4 linked regions of the Elephas maximus indicus genome follow. The protein of the gene in region 1 purifies or fractionates together with the protein of each later gene. This does not show direct contact. Links are inferred from orthologs where the notes say so. Each region holds a gene or a part of one and is shown on either strand. Other genes may lie near its edges.

Region 1 (7,198 bases):
ACCAGCCACTCAATGCTGGCCTGGAGCCCAGACTCTCCCACATCTCCGGCTCGGATCTGGGGAAGACGGGGCGGGAGGGGGGCGGGCGAGGAGCGGGGGGCGGAGCCTGGCAGTCAGAGAAAGGAGGCGGAGTCTCTGGGAAAGCCTCGCCTCCCGCCCGCCCCCTCTTCTTCTAATCTACCATCAATCTCTCACACATATATTTATTTTTTCTCAAATTCCCCTCCCTCCCCCACAACGAACCACCATAATAGGTCTGTTGCACATGCGTATTGCATGCAGGGGGTGGGTTTGTATTTTCAGGCCTTTTGCAAAGAAACTACCAGAATTTTCCGCACCACCCACAATCATTCCCCACCCCCACCTCCGAGGAATCACATCTATATATTATGTTATATTATTTCTCCAGACTTACCAGAAGGGGGAGGGAGAAGAAACGAGTTTTTGGCTTCCTGCTCCCTTCCCCCATCAACACGAGTGCTATTATTTTAAACGTTTAACAATGTAAGGAGACTGGAGAAGAGGGGGAAGGGATAAAATCGGTCTTGGGTAAGAATGTAAAACAAAATGGTGAGAACCAAAGCGGTCAGAATGAAAAACAATACAAGCCTCTAATATCTAAAATTCATATTCTAGAAAAGGGTGAGGGAGGACAACTTGAACAAATTTCCTGAGAGGAGGATTATTTTCCCCACACTTAAACAGAAATAATTAGCAGACTAAAAATATTTTCTCAAAGTTTTACCTCAGAAAGTCATCTGAGGGGGTGTATCTGGGTCACTCATTTGACTTGGAGGGCTGAAAGGGAGATAAAATTGCCCTGGGAGAGAGGGGAGGCGGGTTTTCATTTCAAATAAAAATTTAAAAGCATTTGACATATCTATTCAGAAAGCAAAGAGGGAGAGGGGGAGGGAATATCGACACAAAGACCCACCTCAACCTAAGATTCTTCCTGCTCCTCTCTCTCACGTACCCATATCCGAGTTCAAAACCTCCCAAATACCACAACCCAAATTCAGAATACAAGTAGGTGAGAGTTGCCAATTTCTTAACTAAACCTGTCATCCTTTCTTTCCCTTTATTTAGCACCTCTGCTGTTTTCCAAGCAACCCCTACCCCAATTCTTTATTCCTTTCCCTCATGCAAAATCAGTGGGGGCTCTAGAATAACATTAAAAAAAAAAAAACTTTTCCTTTTTTCAGACAAGCCTAGGCAAAAAAAAAAAAAAAGACTATTTTCTTTCCCCTTAGACACAACCCCCCCCCCAAATTTAGAAAGCTCCCCACACTCCCTCCTTCAAAGGTTGCCTCAGCAAGACAGAAAAGTTTGCCACATATGGCACAAAGATCAATACGGCAGTTTTACGAAGAGAATGATGTTAGAAAATTTGAAGTTGGGTGCATTTGTGCTGCATGGCACCCAGAGGTCTGGGGGTGTGGATGTCCCCCCTTTCAATTCCCAAGCAGGCAGTGTGAGCACTGCCCTCGCTCACCTATCCTATAAAAAGACTAGAAATAAACCAACTAGAAGATGGTCTTTGTGGGCCCACCGGCGGGGCGCCCGAAGCGAGGCAGCGGTGTGTCCCCTCCACGGCTGGTGGAGCAACCCAGAAGTGCCGGGTGACTCGTCAGCCCGAGGGAGAGGTTCTGAGTGATGGTCAAGCTGCAGAACAGCTGAGTGGGCAGTTCACGCCCCCCAACGTGGTCTGGGTGCGGGCGGTTTGAGCTGAAGAGTGAGTGACAGGGAACGGCAGCCACGTGAGAGTCACAGCTGGGCAGCTCGGCCACCCCAGACTGACTGGGTCATGGGGGGGCGCACTTGACACAAAAGAGCCCAGGGCAGGGGAGTGACAAAGGGGGAGGAGTTGGGGGGAGGACTTCGGTTTCCCCCTGCACTCTGTTCTCGCTCCCCAGTCTTCAGTGGCGCCGCCCCCCCAGTACAAGTTGCGGGGAGGGGGGGAAGGATCAAGTCTGATTCCGGGAAGTGTTCTGCTTGGAGTGTGGCCACCACCTGCCCCTAGTCCTCAGCCGCCCACGAATAGCCCACGACCCCTCCCCACGTGCCACTGCACGCCCCTAAGCGGACACAAAAGTCTCCGCAACTCGGGGGGGGGTCCAATGGGCGCCATTATCCCCCCTGCCTTCCCAACTCCTCAGGGGAGGGAGACTTAAGAACACCACTCGCGAAAACCCAGTTTTCCCTCAGTCCAGCCCCACCGGGGCCGAAGCCCGAGGGGCGCCCGCGCGGCCGCCCCTCCCCCACGCGCCCCTCCCCCCCACGCCGCCGTCCGGCCGCCAGGGTCTCCGCGGTCCCTCGCTCGGCCAGGGAGGGGGCCCTGGCTTCGCCTCGGCCGTTTCCTGCCTACCCCCTCCCCGCCGAGGGTAAAAAAAAAATCTCCTCCTCCTCCTCCCCCGAAAGCCGCGACCAAGTGGCCCGGTCCGCGCGCGCAGCTCGCTCCCAGCGCTCTCCAGCCCGGGCGACGGCGGCAGCGGCGGCGGCGGCGACGGGGGAGGGGTGCGGCGGGGGAGGGGAGGAGGCCTGGCCCCGCCGCCGCCCGGATCGCCCGGTCGGACCGCCGCGGGGCGATCGGCCCGAGACGGCGCCCCGCGCCCCGGATTCACCTCGCCTCGGCCGCGCGGTGGGTGTCTCGCCCCCGCTCGGCCTCTCGCGCCCGCGGCTCCCGCTGGGGGCTGGGGGAGGTCGAAGCGGCCGCTTACCTGGAGGCGGGGGCGGCGGCGGCGGGGGCAGCGGCGGCGGTGGCGGCGGCGGCGGGAAGAGGTGGCAGCCGGGGGGGTTGTGGCGGTCGCGGCCCCGGTCGTGGTCCGGCCCGCGCCCGAGTACTCTCTCGTCGTCGTACTCCTCATCGTCCTCGTCGGCCGCCTCCACCTCCTCCTCCTCCTCGTCGCCCTCTTCTTCTTCCTCTTCTTCCTCCTCCGACACCACCATCTCCTCCTCCTCCTCCTCTTCGTCCCTCAGAGGGGAAGCCATCCTGTGGCTCTGGCCCCCCCACCACCCCCCCACCCACCGCCCGCCCGCCTCCCCCACCGCTACCACCACCACCACCTCCTCCTCCTCCTCCTCCTCCTCCTCCTCCTCGGCGGCGGCGTCCTCCTCCTCACCGCCTCCCCCAGCCCCCAAAACCCCCGGGCCACCCCCCTCTAAAACCCCCACCCTCGGGGCCGCCGTCTGAGGAGGGGGGCCAAACCACCCCAAAAATTTTCTTGGAAAATTTTCAGGAGAGGAGAGACTTTTTTGCCTCTCTCCTCCCAAGAGAACAAGAAAGGGGGATTAAAAAAAATTATATATATATATATATATATAAAAGTTTTCGACTTCTCTCTACCCCCCTCTCCGTTGCCTTAAATATATTTAAATTCTGAGGGGGGCGCTCAGAAATATTTCTCAGAGCTGAGGCACTAAGATGGCCGCCTTGAAATTATTTTTAAAACAACCCCCCCTCCAGGACCGCCACCCCCTCCATGAAGAAAGGGAGAGGGGGAAAAATCCCCTTTTAAAACAAAATGGCTGGCTTAATATTTCATTTTTCACCCCCCCATTCTCCTCCCTGTTACACCCCCATCTCCAAGCTTTTACCCAGAAACCCAGAAATTTCTCCCTTTTTTCATAACTGATTAGTGCACAGATTAATAGAGATATTTTCCTTGTGTACTGAACTGTGTGTATGTGTGTGTGTGTGTGTGTTTTGGGGGGGCATGAAGGATTTCTGCATAAAACAAAAATGGCTGCTGTGACTAACTCACCCCTTATAAAAAATATTTGAGGGGGGGCATTAATCAGTAGTCATGCTCAGTCTGACATCAGCATAAATTGTTAAAGGTTAACTAGTTAAATACTAGTCCAACCAGATTTAATTTTTTTTTCTTTTCTTTACTAGTCTCTTCCTCCCCACCTCCCTTCTCTAAAGAAAAGCTTTTTTTTTTTTTTTTCTGAATACTTCAGAAGGGAGTGGTTTGATGTGAAGGGTTTTTTTCCCCTTCAGGCATTGAAAAGGAAAAGATGAAATATATGTTTATATATAAATCTGTTTCTGCATACCTCATTGAAGTCAGAATGCATTTAATCGTGTACGTATCTTTTAAGCGAGAAGTGGTACTGAATTTTTTTCTTTCTTTAAAAAAAGTGATAGAAATTCTAGTGACTTTTGGGAGAGAGATATGAATAGATATGATGATTGAGTTTTTTTTCAAAGGAGTCCATGTTTGATTCTCCCTTTCGCCCAGCCTTTTCGGTGATTTATAATTGCTGTAAATTTTATCTTCACTCTTTTCCCCTTTCCCCCCTCCCTGCCATTAATTGAATATAAAATTCATCTGACTTAGGAAATTAATTTGGGGTAAATAGAACAGATTTTTAGAATAAAGGGGAAAGAGTCAAGTCTGACGATTGTGAAATTATTTTCTCTTTTCTCCCATTTCAGTACATTTCCTTCCTCCACGATCTCCAACACTGACAAAGTGGATGAAACTGAGGTGCTGTGAAAGAGAAAAGTAACTGGGACTGAGAGAAAGAGGTAGGGGGTCACATTCAGGTGTTTTCATCTGACTTTCTAACATATGATTTCCACCTGTACTCCAGTGTTTATCATAAAATGGTTCCAGTAATCAGATGGAAGGTTGGAAAGGAATCCAAAAGTAGCGTCCTCCTCCAGGGACTTGACCAGAAAGGTCTACACAAAAAACAAGACTTGCCAGTTGGAGGTGGAACACTTGTACCTTTTCTACCAACAAGCAGTGCTAGCAAAGAAGGAGGGTAAATAGCTCAGTTCTTCCCTTATTCATTCTTGTCACTTTTTTCTTACTCTTGTTTTCTCCCATCCTTTTGATTTCACTTAGCTCCTTGCTTCCACCCCAAGCCTGTGGAATCATTTCTCTCTGGATTATTTTTCTACCTGTTAAGTAGAGCTGCTAGCCCTTCAGCCTCTGCAGTGCTCAGGAGCAACCTAAGAGGGAGGGACGGGTAGGCAGCAACCAGAAGGTATTAGTGATGGAGAATAATACACAAATTTTTAAGAGGCTAAAATATTCTTTGTTCCACCCCCAACACACTTTATTGAGCATTAGTTGCTATCCCTTTCTTAATATGAGCTTTGGAATTCTCTTGCTTCTTTCATATCATTCCTGTACTGAGTCCAATTCCTATTCTTCTACCAGATTTTGTTCTTCTGTCCTCTCTCTCAGTCTCTGTTCTAGTCTATCTGGGTTTCCCTCTCTTTCTGTATATGGGCTTCTCTGTATGTACGTCTTTATTTTTCACTAAGACCGTTTCTCATCCCTTGGACTCTCAGGCTCTGTCACCTCTAAGTGACTTTCCATCTCTGTCTTCTGTTTCCTTCTGTTTTCTGGTCTCTTTGTATGCCTCTTCCTCACGTGTGCCTGGCTTTCTCCTCTTTCTGCCCTACCTCATGGATAGTCTGTGGATCATACTGTGTCTGGGAAGAACGTCTCCACGTGTGTGTGTGGGCCACGCTGCGCATCATGTGCATCGCAGCCTTTCTGGCTCTGTGACCCTCTCCCTCCTTGGTGAGTGTCTCTGCCTGCTTGCCACATGTGCCATGATCTGCAGGTGTGGGTGACTAAAGATGGGTTTTGGGTGGCTGTGTGCATCTCTGTACAAACATTAGTCCTGCTGTCCCTTGAGTGGGCATTGTATACAGATCTGTTAATTTGCCTGATTCTCTCTCCCCTGTCCTTCCCCCGCTCTGCAAGTCTGTATTCTCTCCTGTTCTTGCTTCCTATTGACCTCTTGATTTTTCTTCTTCTATCCTGGTTTCCATCTGCTTCTCTACCTGCTTGCTCCTATCATGGTGCCTGCCTGCCTGTCTGCTCCTCCCTGACTGGCTGGCAGCCTCTTTCTCTCTCTCTGGTTGTCTGTCTGCTTCTCTGGCTGTTTGCCCACCACACTCTCTCTAGCCATCTGTCTCCTCACTTCCCTGTCTCTATCACTTTTTTAGCCTGCTTCTTTTGGTTTATCTACCTTCCAGGCCCTGCCATGGTTCCCTATCTCCATTTGCCTCTTATCTTACTTTTTTGTCTATTCACTTCTTTTATTTATACTTGCTATGTTCATGATTTTTCCTTACCTCCCTTTTATGTCTGTCTACTTGCCTGCTAGTATCCCACTGTTTAATACCTGTGTCTTTTAGACTTTCCACTTAACCAGCTGTTTCTCTCTTGGTTCCCTCTATGCCAACACCCCACCAATGGTAATGGTCTCTCCTCCCTGGCCCCAAACTCTTTATCTGTGTTCTTGCCATGTACACTACCGTGCCTTCTCTCAGCACCTGCCTTCATTCTCAGTTGTCTCTTTCTGTCTGTCTTTTTGGCTACCCAGGCAGTTAGCCTGCCTGCCTCAGTCTTTTCACCATTCTCCTAGGATCTTCACTGTCTTCCTGCCTTTTACCCTTTGCCTGGCTGGCTCTTGCTGTCCACATCCTGCTTGCTTTTCTTTTTTCTTCTTTGTTTTTCTAGTCAGTGTTTGAATAGGTAGTATATACACATGGTACAAAATTTTTAAAGTATAAAAGCTTTACTGTGAAAAGTAAGACTCCCATCTATCCCTTTCCCTCAGTCCTCCAGTTCCTCTCCCCAGAGGCAGCCACTATTTCACATCTCATGGACATTTTTCCAGTGAAAAATATACACACAAACACACAAGTTTACTTGCTTTTCACTGTACTCCTCCCAGTTTAGTGGCATGCTTATTCCTCTGTCAGTCAGTATCCCTTCCTACTTTAGGGGGACTGCCATCTCTTGCCTCTTGTCTTTTTTTATTCTACTTTAGTAGAATTCTAGTTTCTAGTGCAAATGGTTTATACTCAACTATTAACCTAAAGGTTGGTGGTTCAGATCCACCCAGCAGTGCCACAGAAGAAAGGCTTGGCAATCTGCTGCCATAAAGGCTACAGCCAAGAAAATCCTATGGAGCAGTTTCTACTCTATAACATGTGGGGGTCACCATGAGTTGGAATTATCTCTGTGGCAGTGGGTTTGGTTTTGATTTTTAGTTGCTGGTTTCATGCTTTTAATACCAGTATCTGAGAAGAACTTAGGAAGGGCTTGTTCTCTCCTAATCTAGTCTATTCCTCTTAGACAGTTGTCTTACACCCTTGTTGGTCTCTTCATCATTGAGGTATGTATTAATTGAGAAAAAATGTGAGAGCGCTGTCAGACATAGCTAT
Region 2 (6,938 bases), on another chromosome or scaffold:
GCTGCCGAGGCTGGACTCCAGACCCCAGCACTGTGACCAGGACAAGGCAGAGCCAGCCACATGGCCTCTCTGGACTCTGGGGATGCCTCAGGGGACAGGCTGAGCCAGGAGCACTACCCCACCTGCCTTGGCTGGGCACTCAGAACTGTGGGGGCCTCCTGCAGGGACCTGGGTCAAGAGACCAGGCCCTGGTGCTGCTGGCAGTGTGCAGACAGCACTGGGAGCCACAGGGGCCCCCAAGGAGGCTATTTATATTCCCCTCACCCAATGATGACCATCCCCCTTCCTGCTGAGCCCCATCCTGGGGTGTCCCCACCCTCTCCCAAGGTGAGGTCTGTCTCTCCGCCCCCCACAGTCCTGGGCCCTTACCCAAGATGGATAGACTGTGGCTGCCGCCTCTGTGGACCCCCACACCCAGGTCCCGGCCAGCCCCATCCACACCTAGATGGGTTGGCACTGTGTCAGTCACTCTCACATACCCCCTAAGAAGCCCCTCGCCGCCCCCCCCAACCCGCCCCAGCACATGCAGAAACCAAGGCCACAGGTCCAGGGAGTGCTCCAGACCACTGGAAAGTGGCAAACAGAGACCCAGGTTGCCATGACGCCACACCCAGCTACTAGGGGCCAAGGCCAAATGCCCCCACTCCCTATATTCATAGAGGCTTCTTTGGGCACCATCAGGGTAGGCATTCCCCAGCCCTTCCCAGGGAAACCTGGATTCCCACAGAAGTCATCCGCTGCCCCAGGACCTGGCCTGGGCCTGGTGGTTTGGGGCTGGTGCTGCCTGGCAGAGGGACAGCCAGGGGCAGGGGGCTTTGGCAGCCCCACCACCTACTCCCCTGCCCTCTCCCATGCCCCTCGGGGACTCTGAAAATCTCAGGGATGATGAGGCTGAGTCCCTAAGCCCCCTCCCGTGTGCCCTGAGCTGGCCTTGGGATCAGAGGCTGGTCATCCAGGCCCAGAGGGCCTCCATCCTGCCGTGTCTCTGCCATGGGGAGCCGTTTTTCCTGTCCCCAGGGCCCTCGTGTCTCCATCCCCTTCTCCCTCCTCTGTCATGCCCCCCATGTGCTCCTGTCTCATCTCCCTTGTTCTGTGCTCACTTTTTTTTTATATCCTGACAAAAAATCAGAAATAAACCTGAGTCTCAAGTGGCCATGAGTCTACCATCTGGGAAGGGACCTGCCCGGCCACCTCCAGCCGCGGCCACCAGGGGGCAGCGGTACCACATCGGTCAACGGGGCGGCATCCACGGAGGCTGAAAGACAGCTCCAGGCCGGCCTGCACCCCAACGTGGAACACCGCGAAGTGGCAGGGTTCTGAGGATGCGGTGGCCCAGATGGGGGCATAGGCTCCCTGGGTTACCATGCAAATAACCACGCGCTGGCACCTGAAATAACAGCAGTTTATTTCTCTCACAGCTCTGAAGGCAGAATCTGAGGGAGAAGCCTCCTGGCCTTTCCAGGCTCGCCACGGCTCTGGCAGTCCTGGTAGACACGTCACCCCTCTCTGCCTCAGGTGGCCTTCTCCTTTGTGTCCCCTCTGTCTTATAGGGACACTTAGTGCTGTATTTAGGGCCCACCCGGATAATCCAGGATGATTTCCTCAAGAGCCATCACTTAATCATAGCTGCAAAAAGACCCTTTTTCCAAATAAGGTCGCCTTCACAGGTCCCAGGGGTTTGATGTAGGTATCTTTTGGGGGGCGTTTTCCACCCTTCTACACAGGGCAACACCCTGACAGAAGAAGCACATGGGTCATACAACATCCCCCAACACAGCAGCCAGACATCTCACAAACAGCAACACTGAGGTGTAGGCCCGCACATCTCAGTCTGGGCACACAGATACTGACACAGAGACACCATGGCACAAGGAGCCAGGCCCACACGGCACACCCAACACACAGGCACACAATGCACTGACATACACGGGAATGTAACCGTACCCCACAAACACAGACATAGCCACCCAAACACGCAACTATTAACACACAGACACACAATGACATTCAGAAACACAGAGTGCAGCACACTCGGGATACAAACACAAATTCCACAACCCTGACATCTAGACACACACAGATAAACAGTCCGTCCCCCTACACACAGTGCCCAGGCACAGTATTAACACACAGACAGAAACTAGCCCTTGACATCCAACACACCACAGCCTGGACACACATAGTTACACATGCACATATGGTCACACACATATCCCCTGACATCCAGACACAAACACCACAGCCTGGACACAGATGTGCTGGGAATCCAACCTATTGCATACACAGACACACACACACACACTTTGGCCTCCAGACAGCTGGATACTAACAGACATTGTTCTCCTCTAGTACAGGACACACAGACACCCCAATATGGATACTGCTGGATACAGACCATGACACTGATACACAGTGACAGGTGGTGGACACACACCCACTACAGACACAGATGCCAACACATGTCACCTACAGGGACACACAATGAAAGCTGACAACCTGCACGCTCCTCAGGAGCCACACAGTGACCCAACTTTCGAACATAGGACTGTCCCTGAGGTCTGCACAGGTCATGTACACTGGCTTCTCCTCCTGGCCCTATATTTCCAATCACAAACACTGGTCTCTCCCCCGGCCCCAGATTTCCAAGGGAAGGCAGGAAGAGCTGACCCTGCCCCCCACCCCCCCCCCACCTCCAGCTCTGCTTTCCTCCAGCCTGCTCAGGCTTGAGGGCTGTGTGGCCTGAGAGAAGTGTGTCTGAAGGGCCCGTTTGAGAAGAGGCTGGCCCCACTTTTGCCAGGGCTTCTCTGCCTGCCCCCACAAGTCAGCACCTGCTCCAGGTGGGTGGGGAGGGGGGCAGGGCTGCAGAGAAGGAGGTGCACCTCGTCTTCTGTTTCCCAACCAGCGACTACCAGCTCGCAACAACTTGAGGGGTCCAAAATACTTGCAGAATGTAAAAAGGGACATTAAAAAAAAATTAAACTCAGTTTTAATTGTAAAAGTAATAGATGCCCAGAGATTTAAAAGAAAAAAAAAAAAAGGCTCGAACAGTATTAAGGGGCACAAAATGAAAACCCAAAGTCTCACTGTCTTCCCTCTCGGCCACAGGTACCCTACCTCCAGGTGGGCTCTGTGAGCAGGTAAGGATAGTGCTCCAGGGGAAGGTGCACCTTATCCCTCCCCACTTCCTGTGGAGCCCCCAGGGTGGCCCTCCTCCTCCCCAGCCAGCTCCGATGGGGCCCTGAGGTTCATCCCCAGACCCCACACCAGCATTCCCTGCAGAGGTCTCTGGTCTGGGGAACAGTTGAGCAAGGGACTGACCGCTTGCCTGGGACCATCCCCAAGGTAGGCAAGACGCTGGTCCAAAGGTAATGATGCCCAGTAAAGCCCCATGGCCTTAAGCAGGCAGGGACACTGCCAGGCCACCTTTGATGGTGGCCAGAGTCATGGAAGTGGCAGAACACAGGCCTGATTCTGTCCTGCTGGCCCTTCTGCCAAGGCCCCTGAGGGTCAGGTCAGGGTCCTGTGCACTGTGACCGCCACTGCCCCACCCTCTCCGAGCCCAGGAGGCGAGAGGCTGCTCACCTCAATCCGTAGGCACTGGGGTTGGGGCAGTACCCAGCGCCCCTGTCGTACCTCAGTTTACCCCACTGCCCCCAAAACGCCTCCCGCCCTATAGGTAGCATGACTAGCTGACCACTTTGCACCCAAGGCGGGGCTTGAGGATCCGCGACAGTCCCCGAGCAAGGCAGAGCCAGCCGGCGCGCGGGAGCTCCCCGCCCCCCGCAACCCCCGGGCCCGGCTCGCCCCCTCCCCGTCGCGGAGCGACTGCAGGAATACCGCGAGAGTTCGCCCCCTTCCCCCCCCAACAGTAAAACTGTCAAAGGTGGGAGGGGCGGGAGCGCGCATGTGCGCAGCGCGGCGCGCAGCCTGCGCCGCCCGAGCCACGGTCCCGCGCCTGCTCTCCGCGCCCCGGCCCCGGCCCGCGCCCTGCCGGGCCGCCGCAGGTAACCGTCCTGGCCTGTTTCCCCACCCTGCTCCGGCAGCAGCCCCAGCCGGCTGCGCCCCGACCCCGACCTCGCGCGGCCCAGGCGGGGCCGACCCAAGCCCCAGCCGCCGGCCCCCGTTGCTGCCCGGACCCCGCGCCGGCCCCGCGCCCCGCGCACCGCGCCGTGCGCCGCGCTCCTGCTCCTCCTTCTCCAGAAAAAGTCGCCATTTTGGTTCACTGCCTTCGGGCCCCCCTTCCCCCGCCCCAGCTACCCGCGATTGTCCCTTCCGGGGCCAGGCCAGGGCCCGCGCCCCTCGCCCCGCGCCCCGCGGCCGCCCAGGGCTGCAGGTGACAGGTGGGTGGGTGGCGAGGCCTAGCTGCCAGGTGCGCGTCTCTGGCAGGCCTTATCCGCGCGCCTGGGCTGGGGTCTGCCTCGCGCCGATGTTCTGCTGCCGGCTTGCTGTGGCCCGTGCCAACAGGGCTCCCCCCGGTGGGTCCCGCAGCCCTGACCCTACTAGGCGTGGTGGGAGGGTGGAAACGCCTACTCGTCCTGGTGCGGGAGTCATAAGCCGGGGCGGAAGGAGGGGTGTCGGCCTCCCAGGCCAATCCTGGCCCCAGCCCCCTGGACTCCAGGCCTGGTCAGGCTAGGGAAAGATTGAAAAGCAGGGGCCTGGTCTGCACGCACACCATGGCCATCGGGTCATCGCTGCCTGGGTGACTGTAGGAAGTTGAAGCATGAGAACTCCCAGAGAAGTTTGTTTGGGTGTCCTCGACCTCTTCCTCCATCCAGGCCCAGGATATGGGTGTCCCCCTTAGAATGGACCGGGGCTGCCCAGGCTGGTCCTCTGGCCTCAGCCTGCCCGAATCACCCCCTTCTGTCGCTTTGGGTCTTCCTGTTGGAGGACTCGACAGGGCTGGGCTCAGAGTCCCATGTCCACCCTCATTTCTTGAGGCGTGGGGTCCCCCAACCTGGTTGGAATAGGCCCAGGGAGGCCCGGCCACGGGCAGCAGGGGCCCCCTCTGGCACAAAACCGGTGGGCTCCAGATGCTGGGCTTAGCTGCCTGTGCTCACTGGCTGGTGGAGCTGAAGCTGTGCTGGTGGACCCAAGGCAGGGGACCAGGGATTCCTCAGGTGGAGGTGAAGGGGGCGAGGTGCCAGCACCGGCCTCTGCCTGGTTGGCGGGACCTACTGGAATGTGAGCGAGGGGCCTGTGGATCCTTGGTCTGCCTTCCGGGAGGGATTGGGGGCCCTCAGCGCCCAGCTTGGCAGTCTTCCAACTGTGTCCTGGGCAGATGGATTCGAGGTGCCCACTGGGTAGGTTGGGACTATCTGGGTCCGGGTGGGGCAGGGTTTGGCCGTGGGCTGCAAGGTGGTGCCCCCAGGTGAGCCAGCAGCCCGCCACTGGTGTCTTATATGGCCCCCGGGAGGAGTGTCGTCTGACTCCTTGGTCCTGGGTGTGGGCTGCATGCTTCCCAGCATACATCTGGGAACAGAGGGAGCCCGCGGCCAGCACGGGGCTAGGGGGCAGCAGACTAGGCCTTTCAGGCTTATCGTTTCTCCAGGATTGTCCAGAGACCTTAGCGGGGCAGCCCTTCCCCAGAGTTGGAAGCCCCTGTCAACCCCCCTCCCCACTGCTCCCAGAGATCAGCCCTGTCTGAGGGCAAGGACAGAGGGCAGGCTGCGGCCCCTCCTGTGTCCTGAGTCAGGACAGTGCTAAATGGTCCAGGAGAGCCTGCAGGATGTGGTGGGTCTTGGGTCCCTGGGCCTCACTGGTCTGAACCCTTGCTCTGCAGCTATGACCGACCCCTTCTGTGTGGGTGGAGGCCGCCGGCTCCCAGGGTCCAGCAAGAGTGGATCTGGGAAGGATCCAGGCCGAACTGAGGTTCTGCCTCCAGTGCTGCATGACCCACCCAAGCTCGGTAAGAGGCACCATGAGCAAGGCAGGGGCCTTCCTGGCGTGGGGGTATGTCTTAGAGAGGGAGGGGCCTGGGTGTGGATGGACACCTATGGGCCTGCCCAGCCCCTGCAGCCCCTGAGCCTGGTGTGTTGTGTGCCACAGGAATGCCAGTGGTCCGAAGTGGGCAGACTGTGCCCAGCCAGGCCCCACTGTGCTTCGACCCAGGAAGTCCAGCCAGCGACAGAACAGAAGGGAAAAAGAAGGGGCGGCCGAAAGCCGAGAACCAGGCTCTCAGAGACATTCCCGTGAGCTCCTCAGGGCCGGGGTGGGGCTCACAAGGGTCTGCCGTCCAGGCTGCTGCCTGCCTCTCGGCCGCATTAGTTGGCGGCCCAGTGCTGGCCAGACAGGCCTTCACTATGTGGTCTCAAGCCCCTGCCTTTGATGTGGCTGCCGGGAGGACACATTGGACCAGGTGTGGGCACCTAGGACAGGTCCAGCACAGGGCTGCTGCTCGGGGGGGTGGCTACTTCTTGCCATCATCCCAAGGTCGAGGGCATGGTGTTTGGGGCTTGGGTTGGGTGGAAGTTGCCACTGAGGGGGTCAGCAGCCTGGCCTTGCCTACCCCCCAGCTCTCCCTGATGAACCAGTGGAAGGATGAATTCAAGGCCCACTCGAGGGTGAAGTGTCCAAACTCGGGGTGCTGGCTGGAGTTCCCCAGCATCTATGGCCTCAAGTACCATTACCAGCGGTGCCAAGGGGTAAGGGACGTCTGGTTGGGGACAAGGAGGCCTGGGCCTACCTGCCTGCGCTGTCAGCATTGTCTCCTGCATACTGGGTGGTGTCTGGGCGGCCCTTCTAGGCAGACCCTGCTCATATCTGCCCTTCCCACTCAGGGTGCCATCTCAGAAAGGCTGACTTTCCCCTGCCCCTTCTGCGAGGCTGCATTCACCTCCAAGACCCAGCTGGAGAAGCACCGGATTTGGAACCACATGGACCGACCCCTGCCTGCTCCCAAGCCTGGGCCAGTCAGCCGGCCGGTCACCATCAGCCGGCCT
Region 3 (7,552 bases), on another chromosome or scaffold:
CACTCTGCCCTTCCTTCCCGCCCGTACCTGGCCGGGCTGTAACTTCACACCGCCGCGCGCCGCGTCTGCTCCGCATCCGGCGCGGCCGGGGGAGTAGGGGGCGGGGGAGAGAGGCGAGGGAGGGATGCGCGGGGGTGGGGAGAGGGAGGGCCCCGCAACGTGCTTGGGCTGGGGAGGGGGGAGGAGAGCGGGGGAGCTTCCGAAGTGTATGACAAGTTTCAGGGCCCAGTGAAAAATGCAATTCCCTGTGCGCGCCCCCACCCCATCAAAAAATACATGACTGGGTATAAGTGGACCTTTAAAAATTGTATCAAAAATTAAAATGGGAGTCATGGAGAGGAGAGAACTGGCCTTCTCGTGCCTTTCTTTCCCTCGCTGCCAAACTTTCCTAAGTACCCACTACCTCACAGGAGCATTCAGTTAGCTGGGACCCCCCCTCCCCCCGCCTTATAAAGACTCACAAGGACCCCAGACAAAGTCAGGCCCAGGAAGTGGGCAAGAACCCAAAGGTGAAGGACGCGAGGTCCCGGAATAGAGCCCCGCAAAGGCATACCCGACCAGAGTTCTCCGTAGTCCTCCCCCACCTCACCCCGCCCCAGCCCGGGCCTGGCCCCGCTCCGGCACAGGGACCTGGTGGCCAGACCCGGGGTGGGAGTCGGGGGAGGAAGCGAATGCACGTGGTGACCTCCACCCCCTCCCCGCGGCCGAGAGCGGTGGACAAGAGACCTCTGGGGGTACAGCCGAGGGCAGGGGGCGCACGCAGAAACAAGCTTTTTCAGTTGCTTTGCAGAATAAAAATGCTTTGCAAAGCCGAGTTTCTCCCCAGCGGGTTTCGCAGTCGGGGAAGCCGGGAGGAGGTCTGGGCATTGTGCTGGGGGCGGGCGGGGACCTGGGGCCCTGCTGGCGCAGTCTCAGCGTGGCCTGCCGCCGTGCCCGGAGGGCGGGCGCCGGGCGCCGGGTGGGCGATCCCGGGAGGGGCCGGGGCGCGCCGAGGCCCAGCGAGGCCCCGGCCAGGCCCGGCCGCCGCCGCCGCCGCCCGCTCTGAGGCCGCGGCGCTGCGCTCGGTCCTCTGTCTGTTTGTTGGCAGGAGGCTCCCGCACACGCGGTGCTTGTAAACATTCAGACACGAGATTTTTCCCAATCAAAATCCACTTCCACTTTTTTTGAAAATCTTCCAAAAAATAGTAAGAGGAGGGAGTTCCTCGCTCCGTCTCAGTGCCGCCGGCGCTCTAAGTCTGCGAGTGAAGGGGTTTGGGGAAGGGGGTGATTGTAATTTTTTTTTCTCGGTTGGAGATGGTGAGATTTTTGCGGGGGGGGTGGGGAAGTCAAAGTGGAGAGCATTGCAGTCGAGGGCTGGCGGAGCGCTTGGCTTCTGCTTTTTGGGGCAAGAAATTTTACGTTCTCTTGCCTCGTTCAATTTAACTGTCTTTATCTTTTGCATGTCTACCCCTCGCCGCCTCGGAGGCTCGGCCGGGAGGGGAAGGCAGCGGCGAGCCGGGCGGCCACCCCGGGGCCCTCCCTCCCTCTCCCGCGCGCCCCCGGCCCGGGCCCCGGCCCTTCGGCCACAGCGGCGGCGCGGGAGGGCCAGCGCGAGGAGCTGGCACAAAAGGCAGCGGGACAAACACCCACCTCGGGCCGGAACAAAAGGCGGCAGCGCCGGCCGCGGCTGGCGTTCTCCCCGGCTCCCCAGCTCTCCCCGGCGCCGCGGCCCCCTCCCGCATGCCCTGGCTGACGCTGGCGGGGAAGCCTACTTTCCTCCCGGGTCACGCCGGCCCGCGAGCGCGCCGGCGTCCGAGGGCCGGCTCGCCTCTTCTCCCCCGGCATTGGTTTGTAGGCTGGGACCCCCCCCACACCCCGTTTTCCTGCGGGGAGTGGAAGCCACCCTCCTTTCCCCGCCGACTCCCTCCCCCAGGCTGGCGCGTGAGTTGTTCGCATCCTTAGCATTGTTCATTATTTTGCAAAACTGGGGGGTAAAACCACCGCATTCCTTTTCGACAAGAGAAATAAAGCAGCGGAAAGGAGGTAAGAGGAGGGGTGACTTTCTTTTTTAATTAAATAAAATTAAAAGGTGAATGCTATCCCAAAAGTGCACACGCGGCTAAGGTGCGAGACGGGACGAGGTTTCTTTCTTTCTTTTTTTTTTTTTTTTCCTTTTCCTTTAATCTCTTTTACTCCGACTCTCGGAGGTTTCCTCGTGAAAATAAAAAATGCACGCACACACCCCTCTCCCCCCTCGCTCTTGCGGCTCGTCCTGCGCGCTCTCGTGATTATTAATAATTATTATTACTATTATTGGGTTACTTACGCGAGAATTCCCGTTTGCTTAAGTGCTGGGGTTTGCCTTGCTTGCGGCGAGACATGTTGGGCTGCGGGGCGGGCGGCGGCGGCGGGCGGACGACGGCTCGGTTCACATCGGGAGAGCCGGGTTAGAAAGAAGGAGACTCCAGAGAAAATATCTTCATCAGTGCCTTTTGACATCCAAAATAAATTAGAAATAATACAAAGATGGCGCAGGGAAGATGAATTGTGGGAGAGCCGTCATGGCTTTTTTTTTTTTTTTTTAAGCAAAAAAAAAAAAAAAAAAGGAGAGAGAGAGAGGAGAGATAGAGGGAGAGAGAGAGATGAAAAAAAATGGCAAAAGCCCCCCTGAGCTGCAAGTTCAAGTGCGGACGTGACGTCCCTGCGAACTTGAACGTCAGGAGTCTGGATGGACAGAGACACACAAAACATGGGCAGGGCGAGCAGGAGAGAAGGGGAGGAGGGAAGGGGAAGCGCACACCAATGGACACACATCAGGGGCTGGACATGAAAAAGAGACCAGGACAAGCCAATGGCCAGTGCGGGGCGGGGGAGGCGCGGGCGGGGGGCTCGGCAGACGCCAGACGCGGCCCCCGAGGGAGGGGCGGGCGGAGGGGAGGGGAGGGGGCGCCGGGGCCGCGGGCTCACCAGTGGCCGCAGCGAGCGCAGCAGCCGCGGCGTGGCCGGGAGAGAAGAAAGGGGCGGCAGGGGCGGGGGGGGGAGCAAGGCGGGCGTCCTGCTCCCCCCCCCCCACTGGGACCCTAAAATGAGAGATTATTTAAAAAAAAAAAAAAAAAAAAGGCAAGAGTGCTCGGAGGGCTGCAGGCTGCGGCCGGAGAAGCGCGGGCGGAGGGAAGCAGGTAGAGTTGCTCCCGGCCCCCCTCCGCCGTGCGCACACCCACTTCCCCTCCCCGCCGCCGCAGCCGGCGCGCTCACTCCCCGTGTGCGGACACCCGGGCCAGGAGTGGAAGCCCGGAGCCCGCGGCTGCGCTCGGGAAACTTTGCCCGAGGAGAGGAAAGCCAAGAAAATCACCCGAAGTTAGAGCTGAGCCTCCAAGTTACAGCGCCGCAGCGGGCGAGGGGAGGCGGGAGGGAGCGCGCGCGGAGCGGAGTCCAGCCCAAGTTTGGAGGCTCGCGGGCCGGAAGGGCAGTGTCGGGGCCTCCCCGAACCCGGACGGTCTCGATGGAGGGGGCCAGGGCGAGGGAGGCGGCGAGCGGCGCAGGCCGGGGCAGGAGCGCCGGGAGGGCGCCCCGAGGCCGAGCCGGGGGCCGGGGATTTGAGCGCCTGGACTACCGACTGGGTTTGAATGAACTGGAAGCGCGGAGTCGAGGCTCCCCAGAACCCCGGAGTGAGAGAGGGGCCGCGGAATAAAGAACGAGGAACCAGAGTCCGAGCGCATTCCAGCCCCAAGACGGGAGTACCGAGGGCCGGGGCCGGGGAGGCGTCCACCTCTCCTGGCGGCCGTGAGCAGGAGGACAAAGCGCGGGCAGTCCCGGGAGGGCTGGGAGCGCGCTCCCCGCGCCGCGAGAGGCCCCGGAGCCGGGTCCCGAGGAGGTACACACCCCCTCCCGCTCCAGACCCACCGCAAAGGCACAGAGGGATGGAAAGAAAGTACTGCTTACGGGCAGAGCACAACTATTCCCGTGCTGTTACCCGGGGAAAGGGAAATGGGGGATGGAGATACAGCGGCGGGCTCGCGGGAGCAGCCGGGAGGCCACAGTGGAGGGGCGACCGCCTCGGAGGGACCAGCGGCTCTGGGCGAGCTCCGCGCTCTCGCGCGCCGCAGGCCAAGGCGCACACCTCGGAGCCCGCAGCCGCCTCTAGTCTTTCTGTAGACATTCCCTGGAAATTAGGGAAGACCTGTTGGAAATAAGCCCCTGTCTCTTTAATACGCGCGCGCACACACATGCACACACACACACTCACACACGCTGCCGCTGTCAAAAAGCGGGCTTCATTCTGGCATGGGATACTTTCAGTTTTACGTAAAATGTACAGCAACAGCACCCCCTGCGATTGGAAAGTTTATTCCGAAACGTGCCTGCAAAGTCCCCCGGCGTCTCCCGCCTCCCAGCCTCCCCGCCTGCCTGCGCTACCCTGCAGCCGCCGCCACCGCCGCGGATACGGCGCTCCGATTCCAAATCGGGAAACGCTGGGGAGTGGGGGTGTGTGGATGGACTCGAGTCCAAGGTTGGCGCGGAGAGTGCAGGGGGACGCCGGGCGCCGCTGCCCGCGAGACTCCGAGCTGCAGGTGGACATGTGTGAGTGGCTGCAAAGCAAGGAACCTTCCTTCCCTCTCCCGCAAGCAGCCCCGCGACCCCTCGGGTCTTCTCTTCCCCCTCCTCCTTCTAAGGGGTGTCGTCTCCTTAAATTCGCCCACTCAGCGGGGGGGTTGGGTTGTTTGAAGCAAGGGCCCTGGACTGGCAAGCGCGCCCCCATCTCCCAGGCTCGCCGGCAAGCGGCTGTTTATTCCTATGTCATCTTAGTAAAGTTTCAAACCTATTAGAAAAGGACGCTTGTCCAGCTTGAAGACGCTTCAGGTCTCCGCAAGGAAGAAAAAGGAGATTTGGATGCCCCACGTTATGAGGGGTGTGAGCTGAGGTGGGTTTGTGTAAATGCGGTTTGTTGCTGTTTCCCTCCAGTTTAAGAAAGCGGGGGGGAGCGCAAATCCTGTTTAAGCAAGACTCATTTGCAGTAAGGCTCTGTAGCGTGTGCGTGACACCATTTCCTCTTTTCCGTGAGTTCTTCAGAGCAGTTCAGCATCTTTCTCCCACCACCGGGTGTTTTTTGTCTGTTAAACCAACCTTATGACCAAATGAATGTCTCTGTAGGGCGGGGGACGGGGAAGGGCGGCGAGGAGGAATATTAGAAAGTGAAGAAAGGAGAAAGTGTAACTGGGAAGCCTTGGAAAAATAAGTAAAAGCCCCTTCAGGTAACAATGGTGAGCCAGAGTCCTTCCGAATCGAGCATTTCAGATTTGAATATTGCTCCTATCCATCCATAAAAGTCCATATGTAGAGAAGGTACGTAAATGGGCAAATGCGTGTTGGGGAAATATATATGTATGATTTATATAGAATGGTGTTTATAAAGCTTTTCAGGGTTGGCTGTAGTGTAAAAAGTAATGAGTTTATTACCTCTGAAAGGTTCTGTGGTTCACATTTAACAGTCTTCTGAATTACAATTCATTACACAATTGGGTGCTCTCTAAAACCGGCACCCCATCAGGGCCGCTATCTGTGGTTATTTCCTATAAATAACTGGCAACATTTTATTGATTTTCTCTTTTAAAAAAATCATAGGAGATTAAGCACTTAGTTACAAGTAGGTCTGCTATGTTACTGAACTTGTTCCAGATTCCAGGGGGTCCTTTCCGAAATCACATCTTAAAACATAGCATTAAAAAGCCAGTTTTGTAGCTGCTTTCCCTGGGTACCAACGGAGAGGTAGGCAGCGAGGTTTCCACCGTCAACATACATTTGATTTCACCATGATAAAATGTCCAGGATGAAATGGAAACTCTGCCCTCCGCTGCCACCCCCTCCCCCAGCCAGATTTCACCTAGTCCAGAAAACTAGGGCTGAGGGAAGGCATCTGATCGCTCCTGGAACCCCCTCCCCAGTCGTCTCCCCTCCGGGCGACGCCCCTTTTCCTCGTCGCAGCTCGAAGCTCACTAAAGCGCCCAAAAGTGGGGGAGGGGAGATTGTGGGTGTGTTTAAAGGAAAAAAACATGCGTTGTTTTAAGAGGTTTAAAAATATTACATAAGTATTGATTAATGATGCAGGTGGTTTCGTAGAGGGGGTGAAAGGTCACGTTAAAAGCGCGCACTTTGGATACACAGTAAGTATATTTTACCTTTCCAGAAGTGGCTTTTAAAAGTAATAAATTACCACAACGTTGAAATTATTTTCTGGTGGTCAGTTAACTCCGTTCGGGGCTGTAGAACCTCTGCTGAGTCCGCTGAGGAGGTAACGACGCGCTTTGGGCTGTTTCCCAACCTTCGATGACGACGCTGCGTAAAGTCCAGGCCGGCAGACAAGCCCTCCCCTCCTCCCCCTTTTTATCTCGCCGGCGGAGCAGACTCCCCAGGACTTCCTGCCTCTGATCTCCGCACTTAATAGCCCAGTCCTGGTTTATGCTTTATAATGTGTTGACAAGTTTTCTAACAGACTTTCTGAAATAATGCACATATATTCACGTCGGTTAGAAACCCCGCCGTATTTTTTAGAGCCGAGCAGATCGGCTCTCTAATGCAGTGCAAGAGTGTAAATCAAGGAGGGTTTCATGGTCCTTTCAGGAGTTTTCGGTATGAAGTATGAGCCGCGTGGCCTCCAGACGTAACCTTTTAGAAAAAAAAGACAGTGCTTTTATTTTATGGTGTAAAGTGCTTTTAGCTCCAGGGCTCTGAACGTGAATGTGGTCAACAAACAGCTCCATGAGGAAGGCTTAACGCAGTCCCAGCGCTGGTGCGGAGGATCGCCTGGCGCTGGGCACTCGGGCTAAGCTGGGGAACCAAGGGTTAAGAGGTCTGTCTCGCGCTGGAAATGACAAGATTAAAATAAAATATTCACTGTCTGCCTTTAGGGGGAAACACCTTTATGGATTTAAAGATAAATAAATGAATGAATGATTAAAATACAATCGATCCCAACTTACTTTTTATTTCATCTTTTTTCCCCCTTAATCGGCAGATCAGGAAAATAGAGAATGTACGTTCATCTTTATAAAAATAAAGCTCAGATCTGGATTCTACACTTGGTAGATGCATTTGGGGTGCCTGGGGGTGGACTTGCTAAGGGACTTGTTAAGACAAAGGGAAAATAATAAAAAAGGAGGAGCGGCTGTGAGCAAGCGGGTGGCTCTCCCCCCAGCCGCCCTCAGCGCCCCACCCCCGTGACGTTTCCTCCTCCTTTGCTCCCCGAGTGACCCGAGCCTGGGACCTGGGGAGGCCCCTGGAGGGCAGTGTCTACACCTTCTGCAAAGGCACAGACTTCCCCCAGGGGGCTTCCTGAGGGAACAGTTGGTCCAGCGTCCTTCTCCAGAGGCGCTCTGGGCCTTTGGCTGGCTGGCAGGCTGCATTCTGGATGGACCAGTGGGAAAAAAAGGAGGGAGGGAAAGAAGGAGGGAAGGAAGAAGGGAAGGAGGGAAGGGAGGGAGGGAGGGAAGGAGGGAGGAGAGGGAGGGAGAAAGGAGGGAAGGGAGGGAGGAAGAAAGGAAGGGAGAAAGGAGGGAAGGGAGGGAGGAAGAAAGGA
Region 4 (7,018 bases), on another chromosome or scaffold:
CCTTGCAATTATACGGAGGCTAGTGGGGCAAATTGCCTCCTGGAGAAATTAGGCGTCTGCAAGTACAGACGTTTTAACAACCACCCCACCATCTAAAAAAAAGGGGGGGGCATAGGATAAGCCATGGCCAAGCCATGGCCAGTTTGGTAAAGGAACGAAATATCGACTGAAGAAAAAGACCTTGATCAAATCCCCAATCTGGTTGCAAAATATTTTGTTTCAAATATTACCAGCCGAGTCTACCATGGCACAAAATAATAATAAAAGCCAACTCCTCTTCCCTCCTCCAAAAAGGCAGTCCTCTCCTCCCAAGCCAAAGCCCACTTTAATATCTACCCCCCCCCCAAAATAAATAAATCCACAAATTCTTACTAACGTCTCTGCTGTAACAAAGGAGAGATATGGCCACAGCAAATGCTCCGAGCAGATGGCTCCTGTGCCGGGTTTTCAGGGGAGGGGAGAACCCCTTTATATATTTATTTATTTATTTAAATTTTTTAAAATATAACATAAATATTCGGCTCTCGGCCGGCTCGCAGCCAGTCCTCGGCGGCGGCTGGGCGCGCAGCCCTCTCCAGCTCCGCGCGGGCAGCCCGGCCCCAGCCCAGCGAGGCGCGCGGAGGACTTGCAAGCACACAACCTCGATGGCACCCAGAGGATGTTTTATTTCTATTGCAATAAAAGAAACATATATATATATATATATATATAAGCAACGGCGACCCAGGCAGGCACCGCGACAGCAGGACAACAGGGAAAGGCTCGCGCACAGCCGTGCAGCGGCGCCGCGGGCTGCCGCGGAGGGGAGCGCCGCGCGCCTAGCTTCCCCGCGCTGCTGTGCGGGGCCTGGGCTCCTTGCAAACAGGGCACCTGGCCCGCTCGAGCTCGCTGGTTTCCTGGTTGAATTACACCCAACCCGGGCTCTGGAAGCGGCTGTGTCTCTGCCCCGCTGCCTGACTTTGCCCGCCCCGCCACTTGCTGGAAAACCGCGCGATTCCCGCCGGTGGGTTTCCACGGCATCCTGCTTGTTTATTTGGATAGGGAGATGAAAGATACTGCGATGGAAAGATGGATACGAGATTGATAGGGCTCTCGCTCGCTTTTTTTTTTTTTTTTTTACTATTTTACCAGCGCATCCTTCTCTTCCCACTCCTAGCTGACAACCTTTTTTTTCCCCCCCCCGTGGCGGGGATTTTTCACCAGCCCCAATCCCCCCACCTTTTTGGGAGTGGGGGAAAGAAGACAAGATCATCCCAGGAGACAGTCGGAGGTGGGGAAATGCGGGGGGTGGGGTGGGGTGGGGGTGGGGTGGGGGGTGCTGGAGCCCGGCAAACAGCCGCGCAGCTGGATTCGTTTGCAAATAGCGCCGAGAGCGAAGGAGAAAGGCGGCTGCGGAATCCGCGGACCGGCGTGGCCGGCGCCCTGCCTGGCAGGGCGCAGCGACCGGGGCCCTCACCGCCGGCCGGCCCGCGGTCCCCCCAGTCCCGCGCGCTCCCCGCTCTCCGCCGCCCGCGCCATCAGCGCGGACCCACGCGCTCTCCAACTTTTCCCCACTTCCCGACTCCCCGACTCCCCCTCCCCCTCCGCTCCCCCAGCCCCCTCCCCCTCCTCTCCAAACCCCGCCACCAGCGCCGCCGCCGCCACACACGCCGCTCGCAGGGGCGAGAGTCCAGCGGGCCCGGCGCGCACACAGACCTCCTCCAGTCTGCGCGCCCCCTCCCCGGCCCGGCGCCCGTTCCCAGGGCCCCCGAGCCCGCGGCGAGTCCGGCTGCTCAGCGCCCCGACTCCCGGGCTGCAAAGAAACTTTGCATGGTCCCCTGCTCCCCGCCGTGCTCCGGCGGACGCCACTGCTCTGCGAGCCGGCGCGCAGCCCCGGCGCTGCCCGGCCCGGCCCGCAGTCCCCAGCCTCGGGCGCCGGGAGCCCAACCTCCGGCCCCTCGCGCGCACGCCGCAGACACTTACGGGTGATGAGCTCCCTCTGGGACAAGTGCTGCGGGTTGCCCTGTTTGCGGCGGGACATTGCCCCGGCATCTATTCTGGCATCAGCCCGGAGAGCTGCTCGGATGGGGAGCCGGGGAGGGGGTTCAGCCGCCGCCGCCGCGCCGCGCCGCTACCGTCGCCGCCGCGCCTCCTCGGCCCGGTTGGTGTGTTGTTGTTTTTTTCTTTCTTTCTTTCTTTCTTTCTTTTCCCCTTCCTCTCTTGCCCTCTCTTCCTCCTCCTCCTCTTCTTCTTTATTTTGCTCTTTCTTCTAGGCTTTTTTTGTTTTGTTTGCAAAAAGAAAAAGAAGAAAAACAAAAAGAAAAAAAGGCTCTCGATCTAAAATGGGAGAAAGAGGCCAAAAAAAAAAAAAAAACTGCTGTTGCTTGCCGCGGACTGGCTGGTTTCTTTTAAAAATATATTCTTTTGAAAGAAAAAAATCTCTTAGACTTCTTCAGACTGCTTGGCCTCTTGGACTTCCAAATGTCGTCTTGAACTTAAACCGGATTTTGCACCGGCTCCGTACACTTTCCTTCAGGGTCTGGTAGGTGGAGAACGCACTTCTACCAGGAGGGGGAAAAAAAAAGAAAAAAAATGCAAACAAATAAAAAATAATAAAAGAAGAAAAAGAAAAAAAAAAGCAGAGAAAACTTGGGGACTTGTCTCGTACCCCTTCACCCCGCCCCCTCAAAAAACCCAAAGCAATGTAAAACTGCCCCGATTCGGTGGTTTCTGGGTGTTCTGCTGGCTGCCTGCTTTTTGTTTTTTGTTTTTTTTTTTCTCGGAGACTGACCCTTCGGAGGCTCTGGGGGGACTCCAGGAGCGGCTCCTTCCCAGTTCACCTGGCAGGCTGGCGCCGGCCGCAGGAGCTGCCGGGTCCCCGCGAGCGCTCCCCAGCGCTCCCCTGGCGCCGCGGGCCCGGGGGGAGCGGGGCGGAGGGGCGGCTCGCCCAGTGCGCCTGGGTCGGTGCGGGCGCGGACTGGGAGCTATAGATTGCAACGTGAAGATGGCGGAGTCCGGGTTCTCTGGGAGCTCTCGGTCTCTCTATGGCTGGGGCTGCCTCTGTACAATGGGATAAAATTCAAGTTCAAGTGCGGACGTGACGTTTAATCTGCACTAGAGACAAAAAGACCCAGAGAGTCGGAGCACTGGGGGCGACTAGCGGTGGCTTTTTAACATTGTACCCTGCAAGAGAACAAGAAAGCTCACACACACACACACACACACAGAAAGACACTCGCGCGCGCGCGCGCACACACACACACACAGACACTCGTCCGTGCGCACACCCGCAGCCCAGGCCGACCCCACGTGCAAACCGCGTTTTTGTGCCTTCCTCTTTTCCCGGTGCGCGAGAGGCGCAAAGCACCCCCACCCCGGCGGTGGGCAGGATATTTTTTTTAGAAGCAAATCCTTCTCTATATCCCTCCTCTCCTCCTGGGAACAGGACCCCCAGGGAAGGGGGGCGGGGTGCTGCGTGCGAGGAGTAAATTGGATCAATGCAAGTCCCTGCCCCCTAAAAGCTTATTTTGGCTTGGAGGGGCATTGTGGAAGAGGGTTGGGGTGCACGTGGAGACTGGGGGAGATGGCCAATTGCTTCATCTCCCTGGAGAAGTAGTTGAATTGCTTTTACTTTTTGTTTTATTGGGGGTAGGGTTAAAGTTCCATAAAGGGTCTCCATTTAAACCCTCATTACAGACTGGGAGAGAGGTGGACAATACTAAAGTTACTAAGAACGAATTAAGAGCACGCGGGGGTTTGGGGGGCCGCGAGACCTCGTCAGGTTCCAGGCAGGAAGAAGCGTTCACCTTAGTCTGTGCCCTCCCTCCACTTAGTCCCCGGGTCAAGCACGCCCCCTCCCAACGCCAAGATCTGTGGGAGCGAGGGGGTGAGGCCAGGGGTGCGCCAAGTGGGAGGCGAACTTGTAGTGTGCTGACCCAGAGGTAGGTGTGGCCGGATCGCTGCAGCTCCCGGGGTGCGTGACCCCCCCGAGTCCCCCGGCTCCCTCCCAAACCTTGATAATTAGTGCAACAAGGAAGGGGCACCTCCGCCCCAGCCCGCGATCCTCGGCTCAGGGCAGGACATGAAATCGTCCGCCAGACTGGGAAGGACGCAGCTGCCTCGTCAGCCGTTTGATCTGTGGGGGCCTGTCTGTAGCCTGGGGACAAGGCCAGGCCGCGGTCCCGATGGACACCCGCCCTGCCCTTCCCCAGGCCGCGGCCTTTTCGAGCTGGGCGCGCCACGCGGCTCGACCCTCTCCCTTGGCCTCAGCCCAGAGGCGGCCAGGGCGGGTCGGGGCCTGGCTCGGGGCTGGGCTTCGCGGGCGAGCCAACGACACCCGCCCCACCCCGCCCCCGGCCGCGCCGCCTCTGAGCGCACCGCCTCCCTTGGGGCCCGCCCTCCAGGGGCACCTGGAGTTTTTGTTCGCCCCAAAGGTCTTGGGTGGGGCGCCGGCAGCGAGAGCGCAGTGCTCGAGAGCGAAAACAGGGAGAGCTCCCTGCCCATCCCATCCCCCCCCCAAATAACAGCAATAAAACTGTGCCCCCACGTGCATCTCTGCAGACAGTGGGCAGCGGGGTCGTCGCGAGAGCCTGAGGGGGTGGAGATGCAGGGTGAGGGGCTCCGGGATCGCACCTCCCCTCCCGGGCTGCAGGCGGCTGCCCCCCAGCCTCCACGTGGTCCAAAGTCCAAAAGAGCCTCGCTGCCCTCCCATCCCGCCCCACCGCAAAAATCGTTCCAGGAAGGTGGCCTAACTAAGAAAAAAGTGCCCACACGCACCTTTAATAAAGTTCTTAAGAAAACCATAAAACGTCCTTCGCGACTCGCCCAGACTCTTAAGTTTGGAACACCAATTAGCCCGCTCTTTCTGAGACGCGGCAGTGTGCAGCCCAGAGAGGGTTAGCGTCTTGCCCAAGGTCACACAGCGCGTGGGGGTCCGGGTTGGACTCACATCCCCTGGAGGTGCCTGCTGCCCTGCGCCGCCTACTGTCCGCGCCGAAATCCCGACACCCGCTCCCTCGCCCTCCCGGGTGGATTACAGGGAACGGGACCCCCTCTGCGGTGAAGGAGAGTGAGGTTCCCCCTCAGGAAAGGCGGCCCCTCCGCAGGCGCGCTCAGGTGCCCCAGCTGCAGCTGCGCGACTCCAGGGCGGCGGGGTCTGGGGAGGGGGCACCTCGCCCCACCCCCGGCAGGAAGTGGCGGGCAGGGGGCGGCGCGGGCCGGGGTGGGCAGTGAACACTTCCTCATTGGCCCCGCGCTGCCCCGACGGCGGGAAGAAGACGCGCGAGCGGGCGGGCGGGCGCAGGGCCGGACACGCCGGCGCGCTCCACCTCGCGGCGACCGTGAGAGGCGGCCCGGCCGGGCCGGGCCGGCGCTGGCCCCTTCGCCGTCCTTCTCCGCCTCCTCTCCCCGAGGCTGCCGGGCGCAGGCAGCGAGCGATCCCAGCTGCCGCTCCAGTCTCCTCCTTTTCCCTCTGCCCGTCTGGCACGGGCATCATTAGCGCAGAAAGCTGTTAATGTCTGGTCTCACAGCTCCCCCTTTAGTCTTGCTGCGCTCCCTGTCTCGCGTTCCAAGCCGGATCAATAGCCGCCTCCCGGCCGACCTTGACCTCTCCCTCGACTCCGCCCGGCTTCAGCAGCTGGGCCACACTAATGTTTCCCCACTCTTGATGCCGAGACAGCGGGCGGGCGGGGTGCGAGGGGGGTGGCTGAGCTCGGCCCGCGGCCCGGTCCCCCCTTCCTTAGGGACTCAGGCAGGCGGGGGAATCCGGTACTCGCTGAGCAGGCCACTGCATCCCAGCCCACCCCTCGATAGACCAAGCCTTCGTTTAGAAGATAGGTCACCCCCACCCCAAAAAGGGGGTGCACATTTGGGGGTCCATATCTTACATATGAAAACCTAAGAAGAAAAAGTGCAGTCACCAGTGTGGCCCTGAACTAATAACAATCCTTCGCACTCATTTCCCAAGTGCCTGCTGCAGGCCTACTGTGTGCTGGGCACAGCTGGGGGCTTCGTGCACACAGGAACCAGAGAGGGGGAGGAAGGACACACATTCTCTGCGGTACCTTAAAAAAAGAAAAAAAGGCAGATGTCAAAAACTTTTTTGAACTCACAAATATTTCCCTACTTTTGTCTTTTTCTAGCTTCACAGTGCATTCCAGCAGATAGCCTGCCATATTCTCAGCCGCATTAAATTTCTGTACGAAGGAGTAGTTCAGAAATCAGAAATCATTTCACCAAGTCAGAGCTCATTTTTCCTAACCTAGAGTGGGGTTCTACTTCCTTACGTGCTACGTGTAACACGCCAAGCAGTGGGGGGAGTTTTAAGCAGACATGTGACCCAAAGCCAGACTTTTTGATTAAAATTCTTTTAGCAATTCTCAATACTTGCCCCTTAGCTGAGGTTGGACTCTGTTAGAGAATCCACAGTGTTGTCTTTGCCTTTGGAGCTGTTACAGTACATACCACATCTTCACAGAAATTTGGAAAGAATCATGACAGAGCAGTGTCAGTAGAAACGGGCTTCCAGCGCTTCTGCAGAAATAAGGTCGACATTTATTTTTGTTTTTTTAAACACGCATCCATCCCCCAACATGCAGCCAGATAACTTTGTACCAATACAAAAGCTCAACAGCGCATCTTCCCGAATTACTTTGAGCTTCATTATTTTCTGGTGCTTTAAAAAAAAAAAAAAAAATCCATGCCAAGAAAAGGTGACTCTTTGTATTCACAAGTCTGGAGCAAACCCAAAGACAAATCATGTCAGCTAATTTTTGTTTTTTGGGATCTGTAAACACTATCGACTGAAGATGAGAATAAATACAATTCATCAATCTGATCAGGACGGACTTGTTCTAACTTGCGAGGAAACCGAAACAGAGACGCTAACCAAATCATATTTATGTACATATTAATGAGGCTCCCAAGAGGGCCCTCTTCTCCTTCCTTGCTGTTAAAGAATATGTAGGAGCTATGAAATCCAGAGGCATAAGAAGACAAGAGGTCTTTTGGGCTTCCTAGCATATCTTCTAGAATTATTTGA

What was found.
Region 2: the proteins of CHD3 (region 1) and ZNF512B purify together in Homo sapiens (affinity purification with mass spectrometry; 3 studies listed by BioGRID and IntAct, with this or other methods). This does not show direct contact. The link is inferred for Elephas maximus indicus from reciprocal best matches to the Homo sapiens genes CHD3 and ZNF512B.
Region 3: the proteins of CHD3 (region 1) and BCL11A purify together in Homo sapiens (affinity purification with mass spectrometry; 3 studies listed by BioGRID). This does not show direct contact. The link is inferred for Elephas maximus indicus from reciprocal best matches to the Homo sapiens genes CHD3 and BCL11A.
Region 4: the proteins of CHD3 (region 1) and BCL11B purify together in Homo sapiens (affinity purification with mass spectrometry; 3 studies listed by BioGRID and IntAct, with this or other methods). This does not show direct contact. The link is inferred for Elephas maximus indicus from reciprocal best matches to the Homo sapiens genes CHD3 and BCL11B.

What each region holds. Positions count from the first base shown.
Region 1 is NC_064837.1:12,893,083-12,900,280, forward strand, and holds the start of CHD3 (chromodomain-helicase-DNA-binding protein 3), read right to left. Parts: upstream 3,004-7,198; 5' UTR 2,989-3,003; coding exon 2,718-2,988; intron 2,639-2,717; exon of another isoform or gene 2,513-2,638; intron 1-2,512.
Region 2 is NC_064843.1:4,145,405-4,152,342, forward strand, and holds the start of ZNF512B (zinc finger protein 512B), read left to right. Parts: upstream 1-3,926; 5' UTR 3,927-4,004; intron 4,005-5,779; 5' UTR 5,780-5,781; coding exon 5,782-5,905; intron 5,906-6,045; coding exon 6,046-6,188; intron 6,189-6,512; coding exon 6,513-6,641; intron 6,642-6,776; coding exon 6,777-6,938. Other genes in the region: SAMD10 (sterile alpha motif domain-containing protein 10), read left to right, coding at 1-36. UniProt on the Homo sapiens protein: Involved in transcriptional regulation by repressing gene expression. Associates with the nucleosome remodeling and histone deacetylase (NuRD) complex, which promotes transcriptional repression by histone deacetylation and nucleosome remodeling.
Region 3 is NC_064844.1:1,681,827-1,689,378, reverse strand, and holds the start of BCL11A (B-cell lymphoma/leukemia 11A), read right to left. Parts: upstream 3,005-7,552; 5' UTR 2,947-3,004; intron 2,708-2,946; exon of another isoform or gene 2,469-2,707; 5' UTR 2,361-2,468; coding exon 2,306-2,360; intron 78-2,305; exon of another isoform or gene 77-77; coding exon of another isoform or gene 28-76; intron 1-27. UniProt on the Homo sapiens protein: Transcription factor. Associated with the BAF SWI/SNF chromatin remodeling complex. Binds to the 5'-TGACCA-3' sequence motif in regulatory regions of target genes, including a distal promoter of the HBG1 hemoglobin subunit gamma-1 gene.
Region 4 is NC_064828.1:114,123,566-114,130,583, reverse strand, and holds the start of BCL11B (B-cell lymphoma/leukemia 11B), read right to left. Parts: upstream 3,014-7,018; 5' UTR 2,944-3,013; coding exon of another isoform or gene 2,798-2,943; 5' UTR 2,141-2,797; coding exon of another isoform or gene 2,064-2,140; 5' UTR 2,021-2,063; coding exon 1,963-2,020; intron 1-1,962. Other genes in the region: basic salivary proline-rich protein 4-like, read left to right, coding at 2,064-2,140, 2,798-2,943, 3,813-3,865, 4,004-4,721, 4,849-5,037, 5,169-5,476. UniProt on the Homo sapiens protein: Key regulator of both differentiation and survival of T-lymphocytes during thymocyte development in mammals.